4 linked regions of the Caenorhabditis elegans genome follow. The protein of the gene in region 1 purifies or fractionates together with the protein of each later gene. This does not show direct contact. Each region holds a gene or a part of one and is shown on either strand. Other genes may lie near its edges.

Region 1 (7,702 bases):
GTGCGGGAATCTTCAATTTTCGCCACTTTTTAGTGAAAAAAAAACCTCTAAAAACGAAGAAAATTACTATTTTCAGTGGAAAAAACCCAAAAAAAAACCGAGAATTTTGCTTTTTCCAGAAGAAAATTGCTTAAAAATTGGATAAAACTGTTATTTTTAATCAATTTTCATCATTTTTTAGTGAAAACCTCTAAAAACGAAGAATATTGCTATTTTCTGTGGAAAAAACCCAAAAAATACGGAGAATTTTGCTTTTTTCAGAAGAAAATTGCTTAAAAATTGGATAAAACTGTTATTTTTAATCAATTTTCATCATTTTTTAGTGAAAACCTCTAAAAACGAAGAATATTGCTATTTTCTGTGGAAAAAACCCAAAAAATACGGAGAATTTTGCTTTTTTCAGAAGAAAATTGCTTAAAAATTGGATAAAACTGTTATTTTTAATCAATTTTCATCATTTTTTAGTGAAAACCTCTAAAAACGAAGAATATTGCTATTTTCTGTGGAAAAAACCCAAAAAATACGGAGAATTTTGCTTTTTTCAGAAGAAAATTGCTTAAAAATTGGATAAAACTGTTATTTTTAATCAATTTTCATCATTTTTTAGTGAAAACCTCTAAAAACGAAGAATATTGCTATTTTCTGTGGAAAAAACCCAAAAAATACGGAGAATTTTGCTTTTTTCAGAAGAAAATTGCTTAAAAATTGGATAAAACTGTTATTTTTAATCAATTTTCATCATTTTTTAGTGAAAACCTCTAAAAACGAAGAATATTGCTATTTTCTGTGGAAAAAACCCAAAAAATACGGAGAATTTTGCTTTTTTCAGAAGAAAATTGCTTAAAAATTGGATAAAACTGTTATTTTTATTCAATTTTCAACAATTTTCCGCTAAAATCACTCGCCCCTTTTACCACGCAAAACATGGTGATTGGCGGAACCCGCGAAGCCGTCCGCCGCTCAAATTGCGTATAAAAGGACGAATTTTCTATGGGTTTTCGCATATTTTTCATGATTTTTCCTAGTTTTTCGGTGGAAAATAGCTATTTTTAGGCGGAAAATTCCAATTTTTATTCAAATTTAGTCAATTGTAACCCATTTTTATTCCAGATTCGGCAAAAACGAGCGTTCGGCGTTGGCAGAATTCGAATATCTTCAGGATATGTCTACAGACGTCTCGGGGCTCCAATCAAGCCCTGAACTCGGACAATTGATGGGACAACTGCAGCAACAGAGGATGTAGAGCTGATTTTCAGTGGAAAATTCTAATTTTCTGTGAAAAAAATCGAGTTTTTTGGGTAAAAATTCATAGAAATCTGAATTTTTCCCCCAAAAATTGAATTTTTAGTCAATTTTTACCATGTTTAACCCTAATAAATCCCCATTTCCCCCCCCCCCCCCCCCCCCCCCCCCCCCATTTTCGTGTCAATTTTCGGGTAAAATTCCCATTTTTCGCTTGTATTTTTGCCCATTTTTCATTGTTTTTTCTCTCGAATTTTCTCAGATAATCAATCAATTTAATTGAATCTTTTTTTTTGTTGAAAAAATTGAATCATTTTCCATAATTTTGTCATTTTTTTCCCATAATTTGAAATGAATTTCTCACTTTCCTATTTTCGCTATTCTTTTCCGGTTTTTTCGGGGGGAAATCCTCGAAAAAGTGTAATTTTGCACTTGAATATTTTTTTTTTTAATAGTTTTTCTATTTTTTAGCTGAAAATTCAATTTTTAAACGTTTTTTCACATAAACCAACGTTTAACAGAAATTTTGTTTTAAAAATCGGTAAAAACCGAATAAAAAGTGAAAATTCGAAGAAAAATTTAGAAAAAAACAATTTTTATTCAAAAACTCTAATTTTGCTGTAAAAATTTGGAAAAAACTTATTTTCATCACATTTTTAGTCGCTAAATTCAATTTTCAGTCGAAAAATTGAATTTTCAAGCGAAATTTTGAATTTTCAGTCAGAAATTCTGCTAAAAATTGCAAATTTCATGAATTTTTCTTCAAAAATTTCATTTTTTAATGCCAAAATCCAATAAATTCCACAAAATCATAATTAAAATTCGAGTTTCAATTCCAAAAATTCTGAATTTTCCACAAAAAAAAGATTTTTTCCGCACTTGGTTGCTCACACTACAAACTACACAATTTTCTAGCCTCACTCAACTTTTGGTGAGGCTTAAAAAGTTGTAGTTTGTAGTGTCGGCCTCAACCAAATGCATTTTTCGAGCAATTTTAAGCCGAAAAGTCAGAAAAAACTCAACTTTTTGCCGAAAAACTTTGAAAAAATTAGATTTTCATAACATTTTTAGTCGAAAAATGAATTTTCCCGGTGAAAAATTAAATTTTTCAGCGAAATGATTGTAAATTTCATTTTTTTTCTTGAAAAGTCTAATTTTTATGCGAAAATCAATCAAATTTGAAGAAATAATAATTAAAATTCGAGTTTCATTCAAAAAACTGAGAACTTTCCCCAAAAAATTAGTTTTTCCGGAGTTGGTTGAGGCTCACACTACAAAAACTACAACATTTTCTAGCCTCGCCCAACCTTTGGTGAGGCTGAAAAAGTTGTAGTTTTTGTAGTGTGAGCCTCAACCAAATCCATTTTTCACTCAAAATCGAGCAATTTTGAGCAGAAAATCCATTTTTTCCGTGAAAAAATTTAAAAATTCGTGAATCATCAGGTTTTTAGAATTATTTTTAAAGTTATTATCGTAATTTTTTCCAATTTTCTACAAGTTTTTAGTCTCACCAAAAGTTGGTTGAGGCTAGAAAATGTTGTAGTTTGTAGTCTGTGCATTTTTTGGTGTTTTCTTCTTAATTTGCACAATTTTGATTCATTGTTTATTCGGAAAAATGGAAATTTTATCGATTTTCAAATTCAAATTAAATAAAAATTCAATTTTGAGACTAAATTAATGGTTTTTTTTTCGAATTTTTCAAAATTTCCGTTTTCTTTTTTTTCTCTGAAAATTTTCTAAAGAATATCAATAGACAGAACTCATGAATTTTCAAAATTCAAAATCTCTAAAACTCAAAATCGAGCAACTTTGAGCAGAAAATTCAGAAAATATTCAATTTTTTCGTGAAAATTTCTTGAAAAATTCGTGAATCTCCAGGTTTTTAAAATATTTTTCAAAATTTTTTATTGTAATTTTTTCCAGTAATGAACAATACACATCATCACACAAATGGGTATCGAACGGAAAAGCCAAAAAATGAAGAAGATCTAGAGGATCCTTACGCTAATCTCTCGGATTTCTACAAAAATCATCCGGCAGCACGGAATGAAGGTAGCGAAAATCGAAAAAAAAAACTTTGGAATTTCACTAATTTTTCATTTTTTTCATTTTTTCAGCATGTTCGTCAGCTTCTAATGGCGGCTCTAAAAGTGTGAAAATGGAGCCAAAAGTGGAAAAAAATGAAGAATTTGAAGAATATATTGGTGATCCTGTACGATTAGAAGATATGGAACCATTTGCAAGACCATCACTTCGAGATGATGCACCACTTTCATCTATTTTACATCCGGATCTTGATGGAATTGATCCGAGGTACTGAAAACCACAAATTTCTGTTGAAATTGACGTTTTTTACCGGAAATTTCCACGAAAAACTCAAAAATTCTATCAAAAATCACTGAAAATTGGGAAATTTGACAAAAAATTTCATTTCCTGCCGAATCCTGTAATGTGTAGTATGAGATGTGTGTGGTATAAAAATTGACAAATTTTAATTTAATAACATTAAAAAAAATTTCATTTTTCTCTAAAAACTTTATTTTTTTTTCCATTTTTACAAACTTTTTTATAAAATCACCCGAAAATTCGAATTTTCTTCGGAAAATCTATTTTAAAAACTCTGAAAATTGCTCGAAAATGACATTTTTTGAATAAAGTATTCCAAAAATGCTCAAAACGTGCTGTTTCTTCCAAAATTCCATAATTTTCTTTTAAAATTCCGCAAAATTTGCTTGCCCTTGAAATTGAAAACTGAAATTTTTTGAATTTCCCGCCAAAAGTCGATTTGGAAAGAGTTTTTGCTGGAAAAATCAAAAATTTCGACAAAAAATCGTAAAATGGGATTTTTTTTTCAAAATTTTTCGAAAAAAAATCGAGTAAAAGTGACGATTTTTTTTTCAATTTTTGTTGAATAAATCGAATATTCAGTAAAATTTTCATTTTTTTTTCTCGAAAAATTGATAGAAATTCTAATTTCGTTGGAAAAAACAAATTTTCACTTTTTTTAAGCATGAAAAGCGCCATTATTTCAAAAAATTGGCAAACATTTGCCGAAATTCGAATTTCGCGCAAAAATCGAATAAAAGTGACGATTTTTGTTGGAAAAATCGAATTTTCACTGAAATGTTGGGTTTTGTTTTATTCGAAAATTGAAAATTGAAATTCGAATTTTGCTCCAAAAGTCAGTTTTCCAATGAAGTTTCATAAAAACACACAAATACACAATTTTTAAGTCAAAAAACCCGAAAATTGGCAATTTCTGCAAAAATTCCTTTAAAAAACTCAAAAATTCACTCAAAAATCGTTGAAACCCGTGTCACTTTTCCCCGAAAAAACCCACAATTTTTCCACACAAACCCATGGTTTTCCTAGCCATCAGAAATCTCATGTAAAACTCGAAAATTTGCTTTAAAATTGTTAAACCTTTTTTTCGAGCCAAAAAAGCCAAAAAAAGCCTGAAAATTGGCCAATTTCTGCAAAAATTCCAAAAAAAATGGTTGAAACCCGTCATTTTTCCCCTGAAAACTGGTTTTTCTCGCCGAAAAACTCGAAATTTTGATGTAAAATTGCTAAAAACTGCTAATTTCTTCTAGAATTCCATAATTCTCTGTTAAAATTTCCAAAAAAATTCCGAAAATTCGCCAAAAATTCACGCAAATCACTGAAAACCCCCATTTTTCCGCAAAATCCTTTAATTTTATTTTCAGAATCTTCTTCAAAGACTTCAATCCAAACAAAACTCTTCGTTTCTCTCGACTTTTTGCTCAAAATATCAAACATACGTCCCGTGCCGAGATCTGGTGGGCTTCCCGAACCTTCTCCAAACATCAACGCAAAAAAGAGCCCGAAGAGCCCCTCGCTGATGACGTCATCGTTGGAGCCAAAAAGCTGAAGCTTAACATCATTGAGAAGGTGCCACGTGTCATGTTGGCTGACGATGAAGAAGAACGAATGCGGAGACCGATACTGACGGATGCAGAGGAAATGGCAAAGAAAAATGAAGAGGGTACGGTAGTTCAGCCGTGGAGAACGGGTCCCGCCAAGATTTGGTATGATATGATGAATTTGCCGATGACTAGTCAAGCTGTTAATTATGGATTCAAACTGAAGGTAAAAATAATGAAAATTTGCAGAAAATCGGCTGAAAATTGCTCAAAAAAATGGAATTTCCTTTGAAAAACTGACTTAAAAATGGCTGAAATTGGCTAAAAATGATCAAAATTAAAGTTTCCTGGTAAAAAATACACTGAAAATGGCTGAAAAATGGCTGAAATTCGCCAAAAATTGAAGTTTTCAATAAAAAAAACCCTAAAAATCGCACTAAAAATCTGAAAAAATTACCAAAAAAGCGCAAATTTGACACAGTTTGCTCAAAAAAATTTGGTTGAAGCTAGAAAATTTCGTAGTTTGTAGTATGAGCCTCAACCAAAATTGAGAATTTTAAATTGGTTGAGGCTAAAAAGTTGTAGTTTGTAGTATGAGCCTCAACCAAAATTGAGAATTTTAAATTGGTTGAGGCTAAAAAGTTGTAGTTTGTAGTGTGAGCCTCAACCAAAATTGAGAACTTTAAATTGGTTGAGGCTAGAAAATGTTGTAGTTTGTAGTGTGAGCCTCACCCAAAATTGGTTGAGGCTAGAAAATGTTGTAGTTTGTAGTGTGAGCCTCACCTTAAATTGGTTGAGGCTAAAAAAGTTGTAGTTTGTAGTGTGAGCCTCAACCAAAATTGGTTGAGGCTAGAAAATGTTGTAGTTTGTAGTGTGAGCCTCACTCAACAATATATTTTTAGTTGAAAAACGTGATTTTCAGTCAATTTTTGATAATTTTTAACTAAAAATTCCTGAAAAATATAATTTCCAGCTCAATTCCGACAATTTTCCGGTTATTTTCACGGCTTAAACAGCATTTCATGAGTTTTCAGACAATTTTCGGTCATCTTAGACAATTTCATCTCATTTTGTCAATTTTATAATCAAATTTTATCGTTTTCCACTAATTTCTATAGTTTTTTTTTGTAGAAAAATCGGAAAAAATTGCTGAATTCCTCAAAATTTCAAAAACTTCCTCTCGAAACTTTAATTTTCAATTAATTTTTTAACAATTTCAGAAATCTCCTCAAAAAGTATCAATTCGAAGTGGAAAACCGCTCAATTACCGTACCCCGGATGATCTACCATCCACGTCATCAGGCCCCGCCCCAAACTCCGCCCCTTTCTTGGATAAAGTGGAAGTAATTGATAAAAGTTGTGAAGCTTCAACATCAGAAGATATTCTATTACCATATCAAGTAATTGAATGGGAAAATGATGTGATATTAGATGGAGAAGAAGTTAAAGATCAACTTTTGGAAGAATTTTCGAATGGAAGAGGTTGTGGATGGATTCCCACACAGTATACGAGAACTTATGAGCATTTTGTATATGCTGGTATGGATGAAAATGTGAAAAAAAGTGCAAAATTCGTGAAAACGGCAAAATTTTGACCTAAGAATGTTAAAATTTGGATAAAATTACGAATTTTGGCCCAAAATCGCCAAATTTTGATGAAAATTTCAATTTTAGCATAGAAAATTGTGGAAAATAGTAATTTTGACTTGAAATTGGCAAATATTTGTCAAAATTGCCAAAACTTATGAAAAATGACCAATTTTGACCGAAAAATTGCTGAAATTCGTGAGAATTCATCAATTTTCTATTAAAATTGCCACAGTTCAAAAAAATATGCCAAAAATCTTTTAAAATGATCCATTTTGACTAAAAAATGCCGAAATTTTTGTAAAAATGTCAATTTTTGCAAAAAAATTGCCAAAACGCGTTGAAAATTCTCCAATTTGTAAAAAAAGAACAATTTCGACCCGAAATTATCAAAATTTGTACGAAATTCTCAATTTTCACCAAAACAAAAAAAATTAAAAAATTCGTACTTGAAAGTTTCAAAAATCGCAAATTCTGGGCTTCAAATTGGACAATTTCAGGAAATCTGAACCTAAAATTCAAGAAATGTACGTAATTTGTACTGAATAAATTCACAAATTTCAGACTTTAAAGGTGGTGCTGTCGAATTTTTTAAAAATTTCTTTATTAGACTCAGAATTGTCTGAAAACATCGAATTTCATAATGAAACTTTTTGAAAACTTTCCAAAAAAAGTTATGGCGGCTCGAAAAATGGTCTAAAATTAGTGAAAACTTGAAATTTGACCAACTTATCATTGTCGCAGCGGCTGGAAACAATTTTTTTTTGAAATTGTCGTCTAATTTTGGGTATGCAAGTTATTTATCGTGTGCTTTCAACACGGTTTAGGTATTTTAAAGTCGATGGACGAAGAGATTTGGTGAAAAAAATTGAAAAATCTCATCGACTTTAAAATACCTGAACCGTGTTGAAAGCGCACGATAATTTACTTAAATATCCAAAAGTAGACGACAATTTAAAAAAAAATTGTTTCCAGCCGCTGCGACAATC
Region 2 (7,575 bases), on another chromosome or scaffold:
AGATATAATGGAGGCGATATTAAGCGAAACAACGAACAAAACAAAAACAGAAGATTAACAACTTCAAACAGATGATTCTAAACGATAGACTTGATTACGGAGTTGTTTCACTCGAATGACAATCAGAAACGTCTCATCCATTTCTTCAACTGGAACGAAGTTCATGTCAACTACGTCGAGAATATTCTCAATTGGAGGTGCAAACTCGGTTTGAACAGCAGTATCCAGAGCAAGACGCAGATTATCTTGTTGACCAGGACCCATGTGGCATCCAGTAACTTTTCCGTCTTTCCCAATACCAAAGAGAACCACGGCGAGACGCTTTGAATTCAATGCATCACGGATTATCTGTTGGATGTCATGTGTCTCCATCAAGTTAATTTCATCCGCACTTCGAATATGAACATCCGTGAATTTGGTTCTGAATTCAATTTTGGCTCCAGCCTTGACAGTTGTTGTCAACTTTCCCAGTGTGATCAATTCTTTCAATGTCTTGTCTTTCTCGTATGCCATGGATACACATGAATCGATCCAGCGTTGATCGTGACGAGCAAATTCGAAACGAGGTGGACGAGACATGATTCCGTTGCGAACGTTGAAGCTGGTTCCATACACATTTCTGGAAGGATGAAGAGTTGAAATAGAAAATATTCAGAAAAGCTTCAAGACCTACTTTTTGGAAGCAAAATCTGGAATATCTTCTACTGATACGGCATGCTCTTCTTCGGTGATGTACTGCATATACTTCTTAAGTGAAGACATGTCGAAAGCATCCTTATTTTTGCATTTCGCATCAGAAGCTTGAGTTTCTGCAGAGGAAGAACTAACAGCTCCAACACTAATACCACTGTCCACATCCTCTAACTCGCTGCGATCGATGATATCAGGTTCAACTGAAGAGTCCAAGTCTTCGAAGAGTCCTTCAATTCGAGAATTCATCTGATCTCCTGCCAATGCTTTTCCAAGAAGAGCATCAAGAAGTGATTCCTCCACTTCGGCTGGAAAATATTTTGTTACAGAAAAAGAGCAAAAAACTATAAAACTGCTCACCTTGACCATCGTGAAGCTCGACAATTACTTCATTTTCGGAAGGGATGTCCACTTCTTCAGAGGATAATTCGTCATCTTCAAGTTCATCCACATTTTCAAGCTCATCATCGTCTTCAAACTCATCGTCGTTTTCAAATTCATCCTCGTTTTCATTTTCTTCGATTTCACTCAAAAAGCCGCTAAAATCTTCTTCATTTTCGGAATCCTAAAATTCTTGAATTATACTTTATTCTTGTTAATCCAGAAACTCACCGAATAAGAATCATTCTCTTCAAAAAGCGCAGCCATTGTTCCAAAAATAACTGAGACAGAATATTCGATTTCGAAGGATTGTCGAGGGAGCAGGATTTGGGACAAATTCCAGATAATTGTCTCAAAGTTGTGCTACCGTACTTTAAAGGTACATTGCTATTTTACATTAACAGGTTCCCGAATGGAATGCCATTTTTAATTTCTTGGGATCTCTATTGGTGATTATACAACTTTCGCAAATTCATTTTATTTAGAAAAGTTACTCTCGGCTTATATTTGACATTTACTTCAAATAAGAATATTATCTCTTTTTCCTCTTTCCCTTCCATTGAGACCCGAAGAACTCGGGGGATGTCCAACTGGGGGGATTACCAACTCGGGGGATTGGCCCCGCCCACAGAACCGTGGCTTGCAATACGCCCATTTCTGCAACTGCCGCACGGTTTTAAAATTATTTTTTCTTGTTAATTCTCGCTCTATTGAGAAAAATACAGTTTTAAAACCGTGCGGCAGTTGCAGAAATGGGCGTAATGCAAGCCACGGTTCTGTGGGCGGGGCCAATCCCCCGAGTTGGTAATCCCCCCAGTTGGACATCCCCCGAGTTCTTCGGGTCTCCTTCCATTGCTGTTTGTCTGCATTTGTGCGTAAAATGAGATGGCTGCACACATTTTCGAATTTTATTTTCTTTCCCTAAATTTCTATTTTTCATTCTATTTTCACGCTGACGCTTTCGTAAAATAATGGATATGGAAGTCGATGAGGCAATATCTGGTACTTCTTCTTCAAGACTTGCACCAATCGAAGAAGTGAGCTAATTTTTGAAAAACCTAGTATTTTAAATCGAATTTTTCAGGTAAAACCAACTCCAAAGCAAATTAAACGCATTGCGGCTCACAGTCACGTCAAGGGACTCGGAATTGACACAGAAACACAAGAAGCTCACTATGAGGTTTCTTTTTCAATTGTCCAATTTCAATAACTACTTATGAAATAAAGCCTATGCTAAATAAAATATTATTTCTACAGGCTGCTGGATTCGTTGGCCAAGCACCCGCCAGAACAGCTGCATCAATTGTAGTTGATATGATTCGATTGAAGTGTATGGCCGGACGAGCTGTATTGATTGCTGGACCACCCGCCACTGGAAAAACTGCAATCGCGCTTGCAATGTCACAGGAGTTGGGTGACGGCGTTCCATTTGTGCCACTTGTTGCAAGCGAGGTCTTTTCCAATGAAGTAAAGAAAACGGAAGTGCTCATGAGAAGTTTCAGAAGAGCTATTGGTCTGCGTGTTAAGGAAACCAAAGATGTGTACGAGGGAGAAGTTACAGAGTTGAGCCCCGTCGAAGCTTCAGATAATTCCGGAATGGGAAAAACCATCTCTCATCTTGTCCTTTCTTTGAAAACAGCAAAAGGAAGCAAGCAACTGAAATTGGATCCAAGCATCTATGACTCGATTTTGAAGCAACGAGTAGAAGTTGGTGATGTCATCTATATTGAAGCGAACTCAGGAATCGTTAAACGAGTTGGACGGTGTGATGTATATGCATCTGAGTTTGACCTCGAGGCTGACGAGTTTGTGCCAATGCCGAAAGGAGATGTTAGAAAGTCTAAAGATATTGTTCAAAACGTGTCTTTGCATGATCTGGATATCGCAAATGCCCGTCCACAAGGACGTCAAGGAGATGTTAGTAACATTGTTTCACAGCTGATGACTCCAAAGAAAACTGAAGTTACTGGTGAGTGATTGATAAACATTAAAACTCGAACCTTTCAATTTTTATTCTGTCTTTTAGATCGTCTTCGTTCTGAAATCAACAAAGTAGTCAACGAATACATTGAAAGTGGAGTGGCTGAACTAATGCCTGGTGTTCTTTTCATCGACGAGGTTCATATGCTTGACGTAGAATGTTTTACCTATCTCTATCGCGCGCTCGAGTCCCCAATGGCACCCGTCGTGGTTTTTGCAACTAACCGTGGAACCACAACAGTTCGTGGACTCGGCGATAAGGCACCACATGGAATTCCTCCAGAAATGCTCGATCGGCTGATGATTATTCCAACGATGAAGTATAACGAAGAAGACATCCGGAAGATTCTCGTTCATCGTACCGAAGCTGAAAATGTTCAATTCGAAGAAAAAGCATTTGATCTTCTAAGTAAAGTTGGAGCTGAAAAATCATTGAGATATGCGTTACAATTGATTGCTCCAGCTCGTCTTTGTGCTCAAACGTGTGGAAGAGAGGTCATTGAAGTAAGTTGCAGAATGTTGTAGTTCATGTATTAAATAAATCGCTATTCAGGTAGAGGACGTGGACCGTTGTACCAAATTGTTCATGGATCGTGGGGAGTCGTTGAAAAAGGCCGAAGAAGAGATGCGACAACCTAAAAATAAGAAGTGATATCCATTCATATCCGCACAACGACTCGGTTTTCCAATTTTGATTTTTCGCCAATTCATTTCTTGTTTTTTAAAATTATTTTTCTTCTTCTACAACTTATCTCATTCCTCTCGATCTTTCCTCAGTTGTTTCCCCACATGTTGAGGATCTTGTTATTTCGTTCCGATAGATCCCCCATTTTGCCCAATTTGTTGTTCGATTCCTATTTTTATACTGTTCCTAAAAAGAAAAAAAACGGTTTCAAGAATTGTTCGTAATGTTCACCAAAGCGGAAGGAGTGCATAGTGCACAGAATCGACAAAGAGGGACCCCGGCAATTCGTAATACGTCTTCTCCACGTCCCTGACGCCGCGGCATTTCCCTTCTTTTTCTCCCGTTTCTCTATCGATTCTGACAGAGCACATAGTCCTCAGCAGTCGTCGTTTCGCTTATTCCTCGCTCTATTCGCCTCCTCTTTGAGAAAACGAAGAAGAAGGGGGAAAGAAAACGAGGACGAAAGGAGAAGACAAACGTCTTCTGGGAGAGCTTTTGCTTGGAGCCCCCCGAGCACAAGAAGTAGACTCGTATGCTCATTTTTGCAAACTTTCTGTGTTTATGTCTCGTTCTCTTTTTTGTTATAGACTTATTAGCAATTTTTATAGACACATTCAGAATATGGAAGTATGGAGTTTTTCAGTTTTCCCATCATTAATTATTAGTAAGGGTGCAAAACAGGGGTGTGCGGCAAATTTGCCGAATTTGCCGAATTTGCCGTTTGCCGAGCTCGGCAAATTTGCCGAATTTGCCGAGCACGGCAAATTTCAAAAAAGTAGATTTGCCGAATTTGCCGAGCTCGGCAAATTTTGAGATTTGCCGCACACCCCTGGTGCAAAAGTACTCGAACCAATAACTTTTCATATGCTAAAAGAGCTTCTAAATTCCACCTGTTTTTTGAATATTCCTTCAAAAACTGCAACATTGACTTACGTTACACATGCTTATATCTTTCAGGCTAAAGATTAAGTAGAAGATTAGAACATATCAGCTTTTGATTATATGACACACTTTTTAGACCAAAAAAGTTACATTCTGTTAGAGGACATACCGCTTGAGTTTGACTATTTACGCAAAGTGAACATTTGTATGGCGAAATGAAGTTAAGAAAGCATTGTTCTTGAAAAGTGTAACTTAGGTCACTGTTTCAAAAAATTACCGACCTAGGTTCCAATAACATGCTACATCAACAGATATCAATACATTTGATTCTTTTAAAATGCCAACAGCTAATTCAAATTTCGAAACAGAACATTGATATTATATATTAGATCGTATTTCATTTTAACGAATCCTTACCTACTGAAAAATGCGTATTCGATGATTTTCCATTATAGCTTTTGTAAATTTACTACTGATATTTTTGATCAAGTGGGATACAACTGCTAAAGTCAACCAAGGGTCTCACGCTTACCGTACTTCTCTATTACACGAAAAAGTTATAGATAATTTTTTCAAAAGATTTTTCAAGTCTGCAAATTCTGATCTTTATTTTGTTCAATTTGTGAATATTCTTTCCCGTCAAAATCAGATTGAGAAAAAAAGGAAAAATTCAGTTAATTCGCAATTTCTCCTTCCCTTTCAGGCCTCTCGCTTTTCCTCCCGTCGTATCTATAATTGAATGTGCTAGTACTACCAATCGGTGTAGTTTTCGAAGAATGGATTCTACTTTTATGGATTTAGAAAACAATATTATTTGCACCATTTTAATAAATAGTCATGCAATTGGGGGCTTACAATTAGAGAATAGACTCGTGAAATATTAAAAAATCACTTATCTCATACATAAGCACTCAAAAGAAAAAGTAGAAGAAGAGTCTTGACATTCAAAATCGTCTCCACTTTCATTTTATTTTCCATATTTTCTTTCCAAACCCTTCCATTCTTTTTTAGGCATGACTCTTCGTATTTTATATGCATAGAAAGCCTAGGAGTAATAGCGGAAAAGGAGAGACAGGGCAGATTGATGGGTAGATTTCATGGGTTAGGCACCTTTTTGAAGATGGAAGAAACGAATGGAATGGATAATCTGAAAATCAATATATTCTTAGATTCAGTATTTCGTGTTTCGGCTGAAACCCAAACTACCGGTCCAAATATCCAAAATATCAAGTTTCCACTTGTTGACACACAAATTTTTCGTTTCTTCCGTTTCTTCTTGTCTTTTGCAAAACCTTTTTTGACTAAATGACGTAGTATATTGCCAAAATCTAAGTGAAAAAATAACCTTTCATAGTCTGTTTTGAAACAAAACTAAAATTGAGCCAATAGATTCAATGCCTAATCAATTTTTAATGAGGTGCATAGTGCAAGAAAAATAATAATATATGTATATACAGAAACAACCAATTTTTCTCTTATCTCAACTAAAAAAGTAGATAAATCTTTCTTTTATTTCAATATCTATACAAATATACCATACTTCCAATCTTGTTGCTAAAATTTGTTTTGCACTTATTAAGCCGAACAGTGTCTGACGAATCTTGTTTTATGACTCTCTAGTTAATGAATGTTTTGTGCATGTTTTGTCAAAAAACCCACAGGTACCATTAGATCACTTAAGGGAATACAAAAATGCCTTCAGTAATTTAATTCTATCAATTTTTTGAAATCCCTAACTTATCGAGAAAACTTGAAAATTTTTTTTTAACATAAGACATGGTCCCATACCGTTCCTGATTTTTCCCAAATTTTAAATAACCTAGACAGGCTCCAATTCTTTCATTTCTTGTCTATTTATTCATTAATCACAATGTCCCTATATTTTTAAGATTAGATGTCTTGGAGAGACCGTGATTTTGATCCACACGGTGGCCGAAATGCTTTCCGATTAACTGATGAATCGAAACAGTCATCTTCAGAACGAGCAGCTTCAATGAGAGCAATGCGTTCATTTACTCAATCAATTGAAGATGAAGGTCCACCAGAATTACCAGCTTCACTTGACATCGATATGATTGAAGGAGTCAGTATGAAAACATCTGATACAAATGACACAATCATTGAAGTTAAGCCTGGAAAGGTGGATCCTCAACTTGGAGAGACCCAGAAATATAAAATGGCAGTACCTGGTCCCGGGCACTCTGAACAAGAACAAGAACTTCACAAAAGTTTGATAAGGGACGAAGAAGAAGATGCAGAAGTTGAACAAGTATTTGCAGCATCTGCAGAACCAGTTGTGACACCTCCAAAAAGTTTGAACTTCGCTGAAACAGCTGAAGAACTTCGGCACGCGTATGATCAGAAAATTCGAAAAAGGCCTACAACTCCAACATCTGCGTGTGTTTTAGATGGAATCGCATTCTTTGCTGGAAGTGTTGATGGTTCTAATGATACAATTCCAACAGATGCAGAGAAAAAGATTAAAGTGTCGATTCCAAGTGGTCGAAGGAGAAAAACAGAGAATATGTCATATTCAGAATTTTACGAGTCGATGGCAAATCAGATACCCGGAGGTGGTGGTCGAAGGATGAGTCAATCTGGAAGAACAACTCCCCTTCATGACTATGAAGGAGATATTCTTGATGAAAATCCACAATACAAGGATAAAGTAAGTAATTAATTATTATTTTAAAAAACCGAATACAAAAAGAGTCTAGAGCAGATATGGACGGCAATTAGAATTTTCGACAATCCAGCAATTCTTCAATCGCCAAAAATTCCATTGCCGCCCAAACATGGCACAATTATTAAAAACTGCTTAAATTTGATTGTAAATTTTTTCGAAACTTGAAAAAGCTATTTATAAGTTTTTCAAAATTTAAAATTAGCCAATTCTGCTTCATGAATTGTCTGCTGTGCTCATTTTTCGGACACAGCTTATCAAGTTTATAAATATT
Region 3 (7,236 bases), 8.7 Mb from region 1:
CTCAAACCGACTTTTCAACAGTTGAAACGACGAGAAAAAGAATCGCAATTCAATCAACATTTTTAAATTTATTTAAACATTTTCATTATTTATTAATGGTTCATCATCCGGTGGGTCTACACATCCATTAACACCGTAATCTGAGACGTGGTGTCCAAAGTAGAACAGGTGATCGTTGATGTCAAAGTAGCGATGAGTGTTGCTGTAAGAGAAGATTTTCTTATCACGTGATTTCGATCACTGTCACTTGCCTGCACAAATTGTCCTCGTTCAATGGAGTCCCGGTGCAAACTTTGAACGTATCTTGACTTGTCATGTTTCCAGGAAACCAGACTTCGACTCCATGGTGATAGGATCCATGATTGTAGAATGGTATACACCATCTGGCATAGCTTTCCACGCAGAACGGAATATGTGCAACCTAGAAAAAAAACTTTTAATAGTCTTTTGAAAGAGGATATTTTGAACCGCCAGAAAAAAATTTCGAACTTGTTTGAGAAGTTTCATTACGAAATTCGCTCATTTGGGTGCATTTTGAGCCTAATAAAGCATTAAAAAAATCTTAAATATTAGTCTCCCTCACAATATCTCTTCCATGAATCAGTCTCCAGCTTCCTCCAGCAACTAATTTGTCATGTGTCATGGCATATTCGAGATTTCCAACTCTAGGCTGTCCGAATGTGATTGAAAAGGTTCGACTCGACGTTTCGGGAAAGTTTCTAACGAAAACAGTCGATGCAATACTTGCAATAGCTCCGCCCAATGAGTGTCCTGTGAACACAATTTTATGATCTGGAAGTGAGTCTTTCAGTCCTCGCAGTAGTTTTTCCATTGGTGACCACATTGTTTTTAGAGCAGAGTAGAAGTAATAATGAACTGATCCAGCATTGTGCAACTGTAAAATAAGTTTTCTTTGCTCTGTGAGTACTCAGACAAACACTTGAAACATGAGCCTACTTTGTGCTTTGGCCGACCAATGCTTTCGATAAGTTCAGTTACCAGCTGCTCTTTCGATTTTGTTCCACTGAAACTGACGAATATTGTGTCGTTGTCGGCAGCAATCACACTCCAGCACTGGAAAAAATTAAATCAGATGATTTTTGAATATTTAAAGATCTCATGATCTTTTACCTCGTCACGCATATAATCGCACTCCACCTTTTTGAAAAACAATAAAGTCGCATTGTTTTTCGAGATGCAAGGTTCCGGATCGATGGAATACGCAGCCGCTGCGAATTCCAGAGTTCTCTTGCTCAATTCATAGTCAAAATCTCGATTTACTTTCTTGCAATCAGCTAGAAAGAAGAAAAGACATGAAAAAAGAGCGAACCCGTTTCGCATATGGGTCGAAATTCCGATCGAAAATCACTGAGACCTGGAGAGGAAAATTGGGAGGATTGAGAGTTGTTTACGAGGTGAAAAGTTGTTAGATTGGATAAGTGTAAAGATATATTTAAGAGGGGAGAAATTCCACCAATTGGTTAGTATTTAGTTGTTGAGTTTTATATAAATGAAAAAGTCGATTCATTTGGTTTGAGATTCAAGAATTCAGAATTCAGGAAGAGGAAAGTAACAAATAAATATATTATAAAGTCATCCGATCAATATTAACAAAACTTCCAGACGAGGAGAAATAGTTTGAAGTCGATGAACATTGTTGCTGTTCTTGTGCAGCTGGATTGATAATCTCTAGACCTTGAATTGGTGTGAACGTGACAGATGACGCAGTTCCCGCCATTTTGCTTCGAATACTTGTCATTCCTCCAGCTGCTTTCTGTCTCTCCATCTGCCGCATCATCTTTTGCGACATTCTTGCTCTGGTCTTCTGATCCACTGCGGCTGTTCGGATTCTTCCACCAGTCACATTTCCGGTCTTCACCTGCCCAATATCGAATCCCATGTGCTCTTGCATTACATCTTCTCCCAATTCTCCAAAGTTCATGCGATTGGCACTTTTCCGAAGATCCGTCATTCCGAGGCGTTCCTTCATCTTTCTTGTTCGACGTCCTCCACGTTTTTTACTTGCCTTATCCAAAGGTTTTGGAAGCGCTTTGTTAGCTTTCACTGGTGGTGGCTCCAACATTTTTTCAAATTTACTTTCCACCAACGCCAGAAATTCCGCGCCTTTTTCTCCGTTGGATGACTCGTGTTGAGCATCAATTCTAGCAACTAAAGTCACTTTTGCAGCTAAAATTTTGGCCGCTTTGTTTTTCAAATCTGGAGGCATCTTTTGAACCAACTGATGGAAATAGATAAAACCATGATGTGGATTTGTGGACACTGTTGAGAATCCAATCAAATTCTTTTTCGTTTTTCCGAGAACCTGTACATTACATGATGGCATTGTGGCTAGTGGAGACAATCCTCCGGCTTGTGAAACTAGATGGGCAGTAGTAGTTGAGCCGAGCAAAGCAACCAGATTCGGGGCAATCAGAGCCATTCGCCATTCTACAAGTTGGTGCATTTCGAGACGATTGACATGAAGTTGAGCAGCCAAATTACAAGCATCCATGACGGTTTCCAGCTCATTTGGCTCAAGCTTGACTCCTTGTGTTGTTGAGACTGTTACACTGACCACCATGCATGTTGAGGCATCTAGAATTCCGCCGAGTTGTTCTTTCACTACCTTGCTGTTGATCTCGTTTCCCAGTAACTGTACAGTAGCCAAATAGGTCAACGCGTTAGGAACAAGCGTTTCTAGTTCAGGAAAGCGCTTTTCATATTTATCACGAACAAATTTGTGAATCACATTGATCTCGTTGTCGATATCTGCAGCGACCTGAAATTAATCATTGCCTTTTTTGTTTCTTTTTCATGATGTACTTACGTGGGATAATTTAACAATAAGCTTGTATTGTGGATCTGCTTCAAGAGGAGCTGTCACCTTCACTTCATCCTGAGGCCGTTTCAGTTCAACTTCCAATTGTTTCACTAGTGCTAAATATCTGTAAAAGTATTTTAAAATTATATATTAAAACAAAACTAAAACTAACTCATCAGATCTGGCAAGCTTTGCTACATCGTGCACTGATGCATATTTAGTTGTATCCATCGGTTCTTCTGTTGCTTCTTCAATATCATCATCGAGTTCTTCCTTTTTGACGCCCTGAAAATTACAATTTTATCAGATGCTGCAAAAACTCTAGATTTTAAATAATTTAAATTTTAAATTCGATTTACCTTAAGGTTTTCTCCGAGATCTGGAATGTCTTCCAAATCCTCATCGTCGTCATCGTCAAAATCAGCCATAAGTTCTTCAGCCAACGACATTTTTAGGTAGTTTAAAGATTAACTGAAATTTTAGATTAAAATAGTATTTCAATTCTCTTAGTTAAAAGAAAAAATGAACAAGGCAAAAAGAAAAAAAGAAAAGAAAAAGAAAAAAAACAATTTCGAAAAACATTAGGATTGCGAAGTACGGTATGCGACTCCGCAAACACAAAAGCACGCAATGCACCTCATCTGACGACAATTGAAGACCGGCCGCCGCCGGCTGTAGTCGGGCGCAAAAGTTCACGTTGTACGCCGTTCCCCGTCTTTCTCGTTTCTCTTCATTGCTGCAGTTCGCTGGAAATGATCTACTCTTCAATTCGATGACATTTTCTCGGCAATCGATTCATACAACGTTCACATGCCTGCTGGCAAACTATTGCATTTTTTCCAAGCTTTGTTTGAAACCAATCGATAAAACTCAAATGATCCTCATTTAATGTGAACGCCTGATCAATTTTTCTTCGATTTCTTGGCACTTTTAGTTTTTAAAGTTTGAGTTCAATTGTCAGTATAATCGATACAATAACCTAAGGGATGTATTTGAGAAATGGTCAAATTGATTTTCGTTTCCCTTTTGTTCGCCGATATCTCTTTTCTTGAATATCACCGCTTTTCTCGATTTAATAGTTTATTTAGCGTTTCTTCAGGTCGCGAAGAGAATGAAAGAATCAGCTGCGTCTGTAGCTGTGCGGCCTCAATTGAGAGAGGTGTTCGAGCGTTTTCCAGCGGACGCACACCGAACAATTGAAGATGAGATTCATGAAATGATGAAGTGTTACGCTTTTGATGATGCTATTTTTCTAGCCGAGCTTCATTACGAAACCGATAAAAGTGGTTTTCGTTTTTAATTCATATTTTAATTTCAATAACTTTTTTTCAGGCAACAACTCCGAATCTCTTCTTCTATACGCTGATTGTCTGTATAGAGCCAATAAGAAAGAGGAATGTTATGGTCTCCTTAGTTCAGTTAAATTGAGCGGAGCTAGACTCTTCTATCTACTTGCAAGGGTATCCTACGATTTAAATAAGTTAGTTTGTAATATATATGTATATTTATTCATTATTTTAATTTTTCTTTAGAATCGATGACTGTAGAGGAGCTCTTTTCGAACATGACGATGGAGTGATACGGAAAGATATCCTGGAAGAGCCACGGGTTGCATCACATGCTAATTTGCTTCATGCTCAAATGCTTTGCGATGAAAGTTACATGGATCTGGCTTTAGAATCTTGTCAAAAGTCTCTGGATGAGAATATTTTGTTGTGGTCAGCTATCATAACTTATTTACGGTTTGGAGGTCATGATCTCGCCCATACTTTTGAAAAACATCACCGAAAATCGTAAGATTCTGAGAATGTTTAAATTTAAATATTATGCCGACATTTTTATAGAAATGGTCTATACCTGGATAGTCCAGCTTCGAGTTTGAAATCCGAAACACCATCACCAAATGTTCCTGGGCCGTCGTCTTCTTCAGCTGCCAGCACTGCTGAACCTTCCAGACTGGAAAGTTCGGTCAGACGATCTACACGCGGTACGATTGCTTCGGCGAATCGCGAGACAAGAAGTGAGTGAAGCGGAAAAAACTATTGAAAAATTTTCCGTAAATTTATAGGAAGTATTTATAGGATTTTCTTTTTTGGAGAATAAAATTTTGGAATATCAGTTTAGAAAAAAATCCGACTCTAAAAATGCGATTTTTCAAAATCCACTATTAAAAATTTTTGAAAGATCATGCTGAATCAGAAATTAAAAGTTACAGATACCACATCAAACATCACTCCAAGACAATCCACTCCTGGATCCACACCTTCACGTATTAATCCAACTGCCCCGAGAAAAAGCTCCAGAATCAGTGAAATGACGACACGACGTACCGAATCTTCAGTCACTGGATCTCGATCATCGTTATTCACAGAACCCGAGAGACCACACACGAGGGCTACACATAGCTCTAGAAATCGCGCAAAGTGAGTGGTGACAGATTTTGAAATTTTATTTCAATAATTTCAGTGCTGCACTAAACAGCGATACGGAGAATTCGAATGCATCGAATACGAGAACTCGGAGTGGAATTGCATCAGTTACCAGAGGGTCATCGTCGTCCCAGAGGGTAACATTTATTTGGACACTGAAATTAATAATTTTCTAAATTTAGACCAATCCTGTGCGTACTTCAATCAGAATTGCTGACGCCGCCGCTGCTGCAAACAAGACTGCCAAAACTCTGAGTCAAAGAAGACGAAATGAAAAACAACCTTTGGTATCCAGAAACTCAAATCTTGCACGGAGTTTGTCGGGTTCTACCAATTCTGTAAGAATATAATGACCAGTTATTTTTCTTCAATTATTAGCAGCTTCAGGTGGCATCAACAGCTAGTGAGCGTCCATCAGAAGATGAGGTATCCCAGATCAATCCTCCTCTCCCTTCTGTGGCTTCTTCTTTGAACAATGATGAACCTATGGATATTGTCGATGGAGTTTACGATCCAGAATACAGTATGAAATCAGTTAATCAAAAATTAATGATTTTATTTGTTCTTCAGAGAAATTATTTGATGTTTATCAACACATTGCACTTATTGAAGAGTCAATCAGTACATACAATTGGAGATCGGCTGATGCTTTATTCGCAAAACTCGATAGAGATATCATTCTTAACACGTCTATGGTCCGTCTTCAGTTGGGAAGAGCTTGCTTCGAGCAATCCGAATACAGAGAGTGCCGGAACATTCTCGATGATTTGCATAAACGTAGAAAGTGGAAGGTTGACGGAACCGAGCTATTGTCCACCTCAATGTGGCACCTTCAAGATACTCATGCTCTTTCGGCTCTTTCTCAGATTTTGACAACTGAATCACGGGAACGGCCACAGAGTTGGTGTGCCGCTGGAAATTGCTTCTCATTACAAAGACAGCATACTCAGGCAATTGAATGTATGGAGAGGGCTATTCAACTTGACAAACGATTCGCCTACGCATACACTTTATTGGGGCATGAGCTTATCGTTCAGGATGAACTTGACAAAGCTGCGGGATCTTTCAGGTATTTATAGGATCATGAAAGTTTTTAATTAAAACATTAAATTTTCAGATCAGCACTTCTCCTTTCTCCTCGCGATTACCGTGCCTGGTATGGTCTCGGGTTGGTTCACCTAAAGAAAGAGCAAAATCTGACTGCACTGACCAATATCCAGAAGGCTGTTAATATTAATCCAACGAATCGTGCAATGCTCTGCACACTGTCCCAAATCGAGCAACAACGTGGACAAATCGATACTGCTCTCGTGCTGATTGACAGGGCTCTCACTCTGAATCCTCTTGATGTGGCTTGCCGTTTCAATAGATCACGTCTCTTGTTTGAGGCGAATCGAAATGAAGAATGTCTAGTGGAACTTGATAAATTGAAAGCTAGTTCGCCAGATGAAGCATTCATTTTCCATCTGCTTGGTACGTATTAAAATTAGTTATACTATTTTATATAAATTTGAATTTTTCAGCACGAGTTCACCGAAGAATGGGAAATACTCATTTGGCTCTTCTTAATTATAGCTGGGCGGCTGAGCTGGATCCACGTGGCGAGCAGAACATCACTGACTCGAATGTTATCAATCGCGAGGAATACGAGGACGACGAGTACGGATCGCCAGTATAATTTTCATAACTCGTTCTACTTCTCGATAGCTCATCATAGCCAATTTCGTGCTATAATCGTCTTTTTTGGCGCGGGTTTTTCACTCGTCTTTTCTTTCTTTTTTACTTTTACTCTGTTCTATACTAATCGCGGATATATATATATAGTCTGTCGAAGAAAATGCTTTGAGACTATAAACTCATTTTTTGTCAAATTCTTAAATTGTAAAGCAGGAACCCATTTATCTATATTCACAAGCTTTTCAAAATTCGCCTTATAAATTAGAATTTAAATTATATATCACTTTCCGCTATTTACACAGTGATTAT
Region 4 (8,012 bases), about 11 Mb from region 1:
ATTTCACATGCTTCATCATTCACGGGATCCCGGATTTTTCGGTAGCTAAGAAGCCGCCGGCTGGTTTTCCTTGTCAATGGCTGCTCGCAATTCGAAATCAAATCCATTGCAGGATGGTTTGGAAGGTTTTCAGCGCAGTAGTTCTCGAGAATAACCGGGTACCAGAAGGAAATCCGTCCGTTGATCACTAGAAGACGCGCTGATAAATTGAGAAGATCACAGAATGCAGCTTCCAGGTCGTATTCTTCTTTTTGCTGGTATTGCACGCTGGAAATTTTACAGATTTTTAGATTTTAGGTAGAATTTAAAGGTGGAGTACCGAAATTTGAAACTTTGCTTTTTTAGACCCAAAATAGTCCAAAATTACCGAATTTCGTAATGAGGCGTTTTGAAAATTTCTCAAAAAAAAAAGTTATGGCGGTTCAAAGTTCGGCAAAATAAGGACCATTTTCAGCAAAAATCAAAATTTTTCCCAACTTTTCGGTGTTGCAGCGTCTGGAACTTAATTTTTATATATTCATCACTTTTTAATAAATATTGTGGCCTTTGATGAGGCGTTTATTCGTTGATTTAAGTAGATTTATGTTCTTTGGGACACAAATAAAAGTTACATTTTGTGCCCTTCTGACCATAAATCTACTTAAATCAACGAATAAACGCCTCATCAAAGGCCACAATATTTATTAAAAAGTGATGAATATATAAAAATTAAGTTCCAGACGCTGCAACACCGAGAAGTTGGGAAAAATTTTGATTTTTGCTGAAAATGGTCCTTATTTTGCCGAACTTTGAACCGCCATAACTTTTTTTTGAGAAATTTTCAAAACGTCTCATTACGAAATTCGGTAATTTTGGACCATTTTGGGTCTAAAAAAGCAGTCTCAAATTTCGGTACTCCACTTTTAAACATTTGAAAACTTACTATTCCTCCGTAGTATCTACTTTTTTATTTTTAACCGTTTTCCTCGCCTTTTCCCGGACTCCGTAAGGTGCTGAAGCAATAAAATTATAATTATACTGGAAAAAAAGCCTTACGATCTGCAACAATTGCGTCAAATTTCGCATTACAGCTCCAAATTCCGTGTTTGCTGGAGTCGGCGATCAAAACTCCTAGAAATTGACTCTGAAATCGGAATTTTAAGGTCAAATATTAAAAAAAAAAACCCCAACCTCCGACTTATACTGCTCGAAATTCGCCTTAATGCTCTCGGATTCACCTCGCTGCCCGACACCTTGCCGGGAAGATCGTCCTTGAGCTCGTGCAGTTTGATAATTAATTTCAGTTCCGATAACGAAAGCTCCGAACTCCGCAGCTGGAAGGATCAGGCCACCGGTGCCGACGAATGGATCGAGAACAATGTCGCCAGGGCTTATCATTGCCAGATTTGACTGAAATTTTTGGTTTTTTTCAGGGAAAAGGGATATTTTGAAGATGGAGCAAAACAAATAGTGAAATATTCAAAAAATAGTCTGAAATTCAGAAAAAAACATTTTTACACTTTCTTAAAGGTGGTGTAGTCGAAAAAGTCGAATTTTTTCTATATATTATTATTAGACTTAAAATTGTCTGAAAACGCCGAATTTCATGACGAAACTTCTTGAAAACTTCTCAAAAAAAAGTTATAACGGCTTAAAAAAAGACTTAAAATGAGTTAAAATTTGAAATTTGCCCGACTTGTCAAGCGGCTGGAAACTAAGTTTTTTGAAATTACCGTCTAATTTTGGGTATACAATGTTATTATCTTGCGTTTTCAACCTTATTTAGGTATTTTAAAGTCGATGGACGGCGAGATTTTTAAATTTTTTAAACCAAATCTCGCCGTCCATCGACTTTAAAAGACCTAAATCGAGTTGAAAACCCAAGATAATTAAATTGTATACTCAAAATTAGACGGCAATTTCAAAAAAGTTAGTTTGCATCCGCTTGACAAGTCGGTCAAATTTCAAATTTCCACTAACTTCAGGTCATTTTTTGAGCCGTCATAACTTTTATTGAGATTAACCTGAATAAAAGATAATTCAGGATCCATCGTTGTATTTCCAATATAACATCTATCACGTAAATTATATTTGGTTTTCAGCTCGGCTCGTCCTTCACCAATTAGTTTTCCGAAATAAACTTTCTTTGGAGCTTCATCACTGGGATTTTCGTATTCTTCCACTAGAAACAGCTCATTTTTGGGGGATTTCAGGCAAATTGGCGCTTTATTGAATGGGACCACGTCTAAGAAAGCCTGATTGAAAAAATAATTAATTTAAATTAGAATAAATTAATGATTTCTCACTTTAATCCGTTCAATACTGTCAAGTTTCTTTTTCCGCCCGATTGCAAAGAATCGAATCGCAAAGCTTTCCTCTAATTTATCGAATTTTTCTATTATTTCCGGCTTGTTATCAATTTGCTCATACATAATATCGTATGACTCTGCCTCGATCGATAATTCAATTGCATATTTGACTAGAATCGATCGTGAAAGCAGCTTCCGAACTTCTAGATGGCTTTCGAAATTGACGATGAACATGTGGTCCTGTAAGATAATTTAAGATAATTTTGTGTGGGGTTCTCGTAATAATTTTATATACCGTTGTGTTCAGCTTTTCCGATAAATCTACTTTTATTGAGAACATTGAGCAAATTGCTTCGAATTCTGCTATCCTGAAGTCTACATGACTTTGCGAGAAGATTACTAGCACCGGGAGCATTTTCTCTGCAAAAAATTGGAGATTTTTTCAGTCTCTTTCAACTAATGTAAATACGCTCTCTTGTGACTAAGCGCGCGCGTTTGAACCAGAGGACAATTTTTTTCCTCAGCGCTAGTAGCCCCTGAAAGAGTTATTCATACTTGAAAAAAGAAACTTTTCTATAGATTTCTGCATGAAAAATCAATCCTCAGCGCTTCTTCTCTTGCTTTTCCTGATTGTAATGAAATTTTAGAGTTTTTAAATTGTAAAAAAAAAACTAAACAAGTTCTTTTTGAAGGGAAAATTCGTTTTTAAATGCTTAAAATGCTTCAAAAAAAAAACAAATAAAAAAAATTGTTTCTGTGCATACACCGTCACGACAAAATGCAGACTTGCCATTGGTCTCGCCGCGAAAAAACATGTTTCTTTTGAAAGATTGTCTTAATTTTTTGATTTCAATCATGATTTCAATCAGAATTTTGCGATCTTTCAGCATTTTTATCTATTTTAAAGCTTTATAAATTAAAAATTAAATTTTTAAAAATCTTCCAGATTGTCATACGGGTCCCGGATGATTCATTCCAACGAGCCACTGCCCTACGCTATCGAATATGCAAAGTCTGGCCGGTCGAATTGTAAAACATGCAAAAAGAATATCGCGTTGGTGAGAGCTTTATAAAGCCTAAAAAGCCTAAAGCCTAAAATCAGCCTAAAAATTGAATTTTTCAGGATCAATTGAGAATGTCAATGAATCGCCCGTCAACATTCTTCGATGGAAACATGGATTCGTGGTTTCACTACAATTGCTTCTGGATAAAAATGATTCGCGGCCGAGATGACATCAATATAAGCTCAATCCGAGGAGTCGATTGGCTTCGCTGGGAAGATCAGGAAAAGCTTCGCCAGGAAATTCAACACTTTAAAACCGCATCGCCACCGACTCTGACACCCCTGTGCTCTACCACTACCGTCATTTTGTCCACAATAAAAACCGAAAAATCGTTGTCAAATCGTGGGAAATGTGGAAAATGCGGCCAAAATTTCGAGCGCGGCGAAATCAAGGCTCATAACAAGGGAAAAGCCAACCATTTCAAGTGTTTTCTGCAGGAATTTGATAAAATTTCCGGCACCGTTGAGGATATTCCTGGCTGGGCGGATTATGAGGAGAACTTTAAAATTAAGGCGGTTGGGGAGTATGTGGAGGCTTTAGCTGCGAAAAGGCGATCCACGGAGCCAGCTACCCCGGCTTCTGCCTCTCCAACACCACCAGAAGCTGAAACTCCAGTTTTATCTGCAGAAGGATCCCCGGAAAGCTCCAATAAACGTCCGGCAAGCTCTGAAATCATTGAAATCGACGGTGAAGGGAATCCAGATGAGAATGATTTTGCGAAGAAAAGACGAATGAAGAAGGAAGCAAGATTGATGGAGGTTCAGAAGAAGCGAATGAAGGTTTTTTTTTTTCAGTTTTAATGGAGGACTAACGGTTCGGACGATTTTGAACGTATAGACTCAAAATGAGCTCAAATAAACGAATTTCGTAATGAAACTGCTCAAAAAAATTTCAAAAATGTTTTATGGCGGTTCAAAATTTTGAGAAAATTACACTGATTTTGGCTAAAATCACGATTTTTTCCCATTTTTCCGTGTCACATCTGTCCGTAGTTGGCTTTTTTGGAATTATCGTCCTTTATTGCATACATTGGTAATTAATCTCATTTAATTTCGTCGATTAAGGTACATTTGAAGCCGATAGGTAACCAATTTCGATAATTTTTGGTTACCTATCGGCTTTAAATGTTATTTGATCGACGAAATTAAATGAGATTAATTACCAATATACGTAATAAAAAACGAAAATTCCAAAAAAGCAAACTACGGACAGATGTGACACGGAAAAATGGGAAAAATTCGTGATTTTAGCCAATATCAGTGTAATTTTATCAAAATTTTGAACCGCCATAAAATTTTTAAAAAAATTTTTTGAGCAGTTTCATTACGAAATTCGTTCATTTGAGCTCATTTTGGGTCTATACGTTCAAAATCGTCCGAACCGTTAGTCCTCCTTTAAAACGCTGAAAATTATTGGAAAAATTTACAGAAACAATCCGATCTTCTCTGGGAATACCGCCAGATCTTCGAAAGAATGCCGTACACCGACAAAATCTCTATATTACGAGAAAACGAGCAAGACATTCCAGAAGGACACGATCCGACTGCACAAGTACGGGTTTTTCAGTGAAAACTGGACAAAAACGTCGAGAAAATAGCCAATTTTCTGCATTTTTATACGAAAAAAATCGAATTTTTTTTCGGTTTTTTCCAGAAAAAAATCAGAATTTTCCCATTTGTTTTTCGATTTTTTAGCTTTTATAAGGGAAAATTGAAAAATCGAGGAAATTTAATCAAATTTTTGTTCGTTTTGATGGAAAAATATTGAAAACAAATTAATTTTTAATAAAAAAGAAGAAAATGGACAAAATTTGAAGCTATTTTTGGGGAAATCGATTTTTGTTTGTTGAAAAATCAGAAAAAAAAACCAAAAATTTTCGTTTTTGTTCCACAAGGGCGTCGTTTTTCCGATATTTCGAAAAAAAATTATCCATTTTTCCAAAAAATAGCCTAAAGTTTTGGTCATTTTTCTTGTTTTAAACAGAAAAAGGTCCCCATAATAATACAAACTTCCCGGCAAACGGGCAAATTGCCGAGAATGAAAAATTCCGGCAAACGGGCAAATTGCCGAGAATGAAAATTTCCAGAAAACCGGAAATTTGCCATAAGTGAAAATTTCCGGCAAACCGGCAAATTGGCGAATTGCCGTAATTGAAAAATTACAACAAACCGGCAAATTGGCGAATTGCCGTAATTGAAAAATTACAACAAACCGGCAAATTGGCGGCACTGAAAATTTCCGGCAAATTAGCGAATTGCCGGAAAATGGCAATTGTCAAAAAAAAAATTTCAAAAAGGCACAGTTTTCAGCGTTTCCGTCTTTAAAAAAAATCCCTTAAAACTTCCGGCGAACCGGCAAGACGCCAATTTGCCGGAATTGAAAATTTCAGCCAATTTTCCGATTTTGTCGACAAAAAAATTTGCCGAATTGCAATTGCCGCCCACCCCACATAAAAAACATGAATAATTTGTATAGAATAAGAAAAATGACCAAAATTTCAAGATATTTTTGGAAAAATCGATATTTTTTTTCGAAATATCGGAAAAACGACAGAAAAACAGAAATTTTTTGGTTTTTTTCCGATTTTTCAAAAAAAAAATTTTTTTTCGTATTTTCGCATTTTCAAACTTCAATTCTTTTTGCAGGTAATCGAACGCCTAGTGGATAATGCCCTATTCGGATGCCCAATCATTTGCCAAACATGTTCAAATGGAAAAATTGTCTATAATTCATCATGCCGCACATATGTCTGCACTGGATATGCTACAGAATACTCGAAATGTACTTATGAATCAAAGAATCCAATTCGAACTCCATTCGAAGTTTCTCACCGATTAACTGAAAAGCATAAGCTTCAAGATATTGTATTCAATCAAATGAGTGAACGACTTTATATAGGAGAAGAGGATGGAGAATCTGTAGTGAAAATTGATAAAAGAAAGTCGAAAGGTGGTACTCGTGGTGAACAATTCATTTATGCGGCTGAAGCATTCGATTCGACTAACAATGTTCCGATAAAAGTCGGCGATCTCACATCAACCAATACTCATATTATTAAAAAAGGAACAGTTGTTGATGCGAAATTCGCACTGGCCGATCGTTGTCATGTATTCAAAAATGAGATTGATGGAAGTCTCTATCAGGCGACACTCTCGTTTACTGATCTTACACAGAATAAGAATTCGTATTATAAGATTCAACTGTTGAAGGATGATCAGAGAGAGTGAGTTTTTGGCAGAAAATCCTCCGAAAAAGTCGGAAATTCAAGAATAGCAGAAGAAAAAAAAAGCGAAAATTTGAATTCCCCACCCAAAATGAGAACTGCTCAACCAATCAGCGATTGGTTCAATATTGGGTGGAGCACATCACTGATTGGTCGTGTAGTTCTCATTTTGGCGCGAGCAAAATTCTTTTTTTTTTAAATTAAAGCTGGTGTAGTCGAATTTTTTTATTGCTTTATAAGAATCAAAATTGTCTGAAAACATCGAATTTCATAATGAAACTTCTTGAAAACTTTTCAAAAAAAAGTTATGACGGCTCAAAAAATGGCCTAAAATTAGTTGAAATTTGAAATTTGGCCGACTTGTCATGCGGCTGGAAACTAACTTTTTTGAAATCACCGTTAAATTTCGAGTATACAATGTAATTATCTTGAGTTTTCAACTCGATTTAGGTATTTTAAAGGAGATGAACGGCGAGATTTTTAAATTTTTTTAAATCAAATCTTGCCGTCCATCGACTTTAAAATAACTAAATGAAGTTGAGTACGCAAGATTTTCTTAAATTACATTGTATACTCGAAATTTGACGGTGATTTCAAAAAAATTAGTCTCTAGCCGCTTGACAAGTCGGTCAAATTTCAAAGTTTAACTAATTTTAGGCCATTTTTTGAGCCGTCATAACTGTTTTTTTTTTTGAGAAGTTTTCAAGAAGTTTCATTATTAAATTCGGTGTTTTCAGACAATTTTGAGTATAGTAAAGCAATAAAAAAATGAGACGCCACCTTTAAGGATTAGCAGAAGAAAAAAAAACGAAAAAAATCGAATTCCCCCCAAAATGAGAACTGCGCGACCAATCAGCGATTTGCTCCGCCCATATTCGATCTGATTGGTGCAAAAAGTGGGCGGAGAACATCGCTGATTGGTCGTGTAGTTTTCTTTTTGGCGCGAGCAAAATTCATATTAGAAATGCGAAATTTTTTGGATTACTGTAGCCCCAAAAATATTACAGTAATCCAAAAACTAGGAAAAATTGCATAATTATCTGCTTTTTGAAATGTGCAAAAATTTTATTTTCCGAATTTTCCAATAATAAAATCGAATTCATTGTTAATTTTTTATTTGAAATTGAGTTCTCCAACGACAATTTTCTGGTTTTTTGGGTTACTGTAGCCCCGAAAGTACGTTATCAAATGTTTTTTTCGAAATACTGAAAAATTGAGATTTTTAAAACTTTTTTGCCCAAAAAATTGGTGGCCTAACTTTCAGTATTTTGGTGGCCTAGGAAAGATATCTTTTTCGAAAACAAAAATTGGTGGCCTAACTTTTTTCCTGGAGGTTCCTAGGCCACCAGTTTTTTCAGCGAAGAATTCGGAAAAATTCCTAGGCCACCAACTTTTTCTCAAGAAAAACATACATTTTCTATGAATTTTTGACCAAAA

The links.
Region 2: the proteins of taf-1 (region 1) and ruvb-1 fractionate together in Caenorhabditis elegans (co-fractionation; one large-scale study listed by BioGRID). This does not show direct contact.
Region 3: the proteins of taf-1 (region 1) and prp-31 fractionate together in Caenorhabditis elegans (co-fractionation; one large-scale study listed by BioGRID). This does not show direct contact.
Region 4: the proteins of taf-1 (region 1) and parp-1 fractionate together in Caenorhabditis elegans (co-fractionation; one large-scale study listed by BioGRID). This does not show direct contact.

What each region holds. Positions count from the first base shown.
Region 1 is NC_003279.8:13,858,309-13,866,010, forward strand, and holds the start of taf-1 (Transcription initiation factor TFIID subunit 1), read left to right. Parts: upstream 1-3,165; 5' UTR 3,166-3,167; coding exon 3,168-3,294; intron 3,295-3,359; coding exon 3,360-3,555; intron 3,556-4,949; coding exon 4,950-5,352; intron 5,353-6,346; coding exon 6,347-6,665; intron 6,666-7,702. Other genes in the region: W04A8.6 (ANK_REP_REGION domain-containing protein), read left to right, coding at 1,111-1,243. UniProt on the Caenorhabditis elegans protein: The TFIID basal transcription factor complex plays a major role in the initiation of RNA polymerase II (Pol II)-dependent transcription.
Region 2 is NC_003283.11:9,975,164-9,982,738, reverse strand, and holds ruvb-1 (RuvB-like 1), read left to right. Parts: upstream 1-1,936; 5' UTR 1,937-2,042; coding exon 2,043-2,108; intron 2,109-2,155; coding exon 2,156-2,251; intron 2,252-2,328; coding exon 2,329-3,040; intron 3,041-3,097; coding exon 3,098-3,555; intron 3,556-3,604; coding exon 3,605-3,703; 3' UTR 3,704-3,948; downstream 3,949-7,575. Other genes in the region: tofu-1 (Schlafen-like protein 1), read right to left, coding at 64-619, 674-998, 1,051-1,255, 1,303-1,338; unc-41 (Putative stoned B-like protein), read left to right, coding at 6,513-7,286. UniProt on the Caenorhabditis elegans protein: Possesses single-stranded DNA-stimulated ATPase and ATP dependent DNA helicase (3' to 5') activity suggesting a role in nuclear processes such as recombination and transcription.
Region 3 is NC_003279.8:5,123,884-5,131,119, reverse strand, and holds prp-31 (U4/U6 small nuclear ribonucleoprotein Prp31), read right to left. Parts: upstream 3,293-7,236; 5' UTR 3,271-3,292; coding exon 3,181-3,270; intron 3,107-3,180; coding exon 2,994-3,106; intron 2,946-2,993; coding exon 2,828-2,945; intron 2,780-2,827; coding exon 1,586-2,779; 3' UTR 1,509-1,585; downstream 1-1,508. Other genes in the region: Y110A7A.7 (Fungal lipase-type domain-containing protein), read right to left, coding at 73-202, 252-421, 584-895, 958-1,074, 1,132-1,341; mat-1 (Cell division cycle protein 27 homolog), read left to right, coding at 3,933-4,104, 4,154-4,301, 4,354-4,614, 4,666-4,841, 5,037-5,244, 5,288-5,387, 5,433-5,588, 5,632-5,773 and 3 more.
Region 4 is NC_003279.8:2,919,936-2,927,947, reverse strand, and holds the start of parp-1 (Poly [ADP-ribose] polymerase 1), read left to right. Parts: upstream 1-3,234; 5' UTR 3,235-3,253; coding exon 3,254-3,346; intron 3,347-3,411; coding exon 3,412-4,131; intron 4,132-4,780; coding exon 4,781-4,903; intron 4,904-5,997; coding exon 5,998-6,575; intron 6,576-6,657; exon of another isoform or gene 6,658-6,762; intron 6,763-8,012. Other genes in the region: Y71F9AL.1 (tRNA (guanine(10)-N(2))-methyltransferase TRMT11), read right to left, coding at 1-267, 923-992, 1,036-1,123, 1,171-1,389, 2,004-2,234, 2,286-2,528, 2,584-2,703. UniProt on the Caenorhabditis elegans protein: Poly[ADP-ribose] polymerase modifies various nuclear proteins by poly(ADP-ribosyl)ation, a post-translational modification synthesized after DNA damage that appears as an obligatory step in a detection/signaling pathway leading to the reparation of DNA strand breaks and programmed cell death.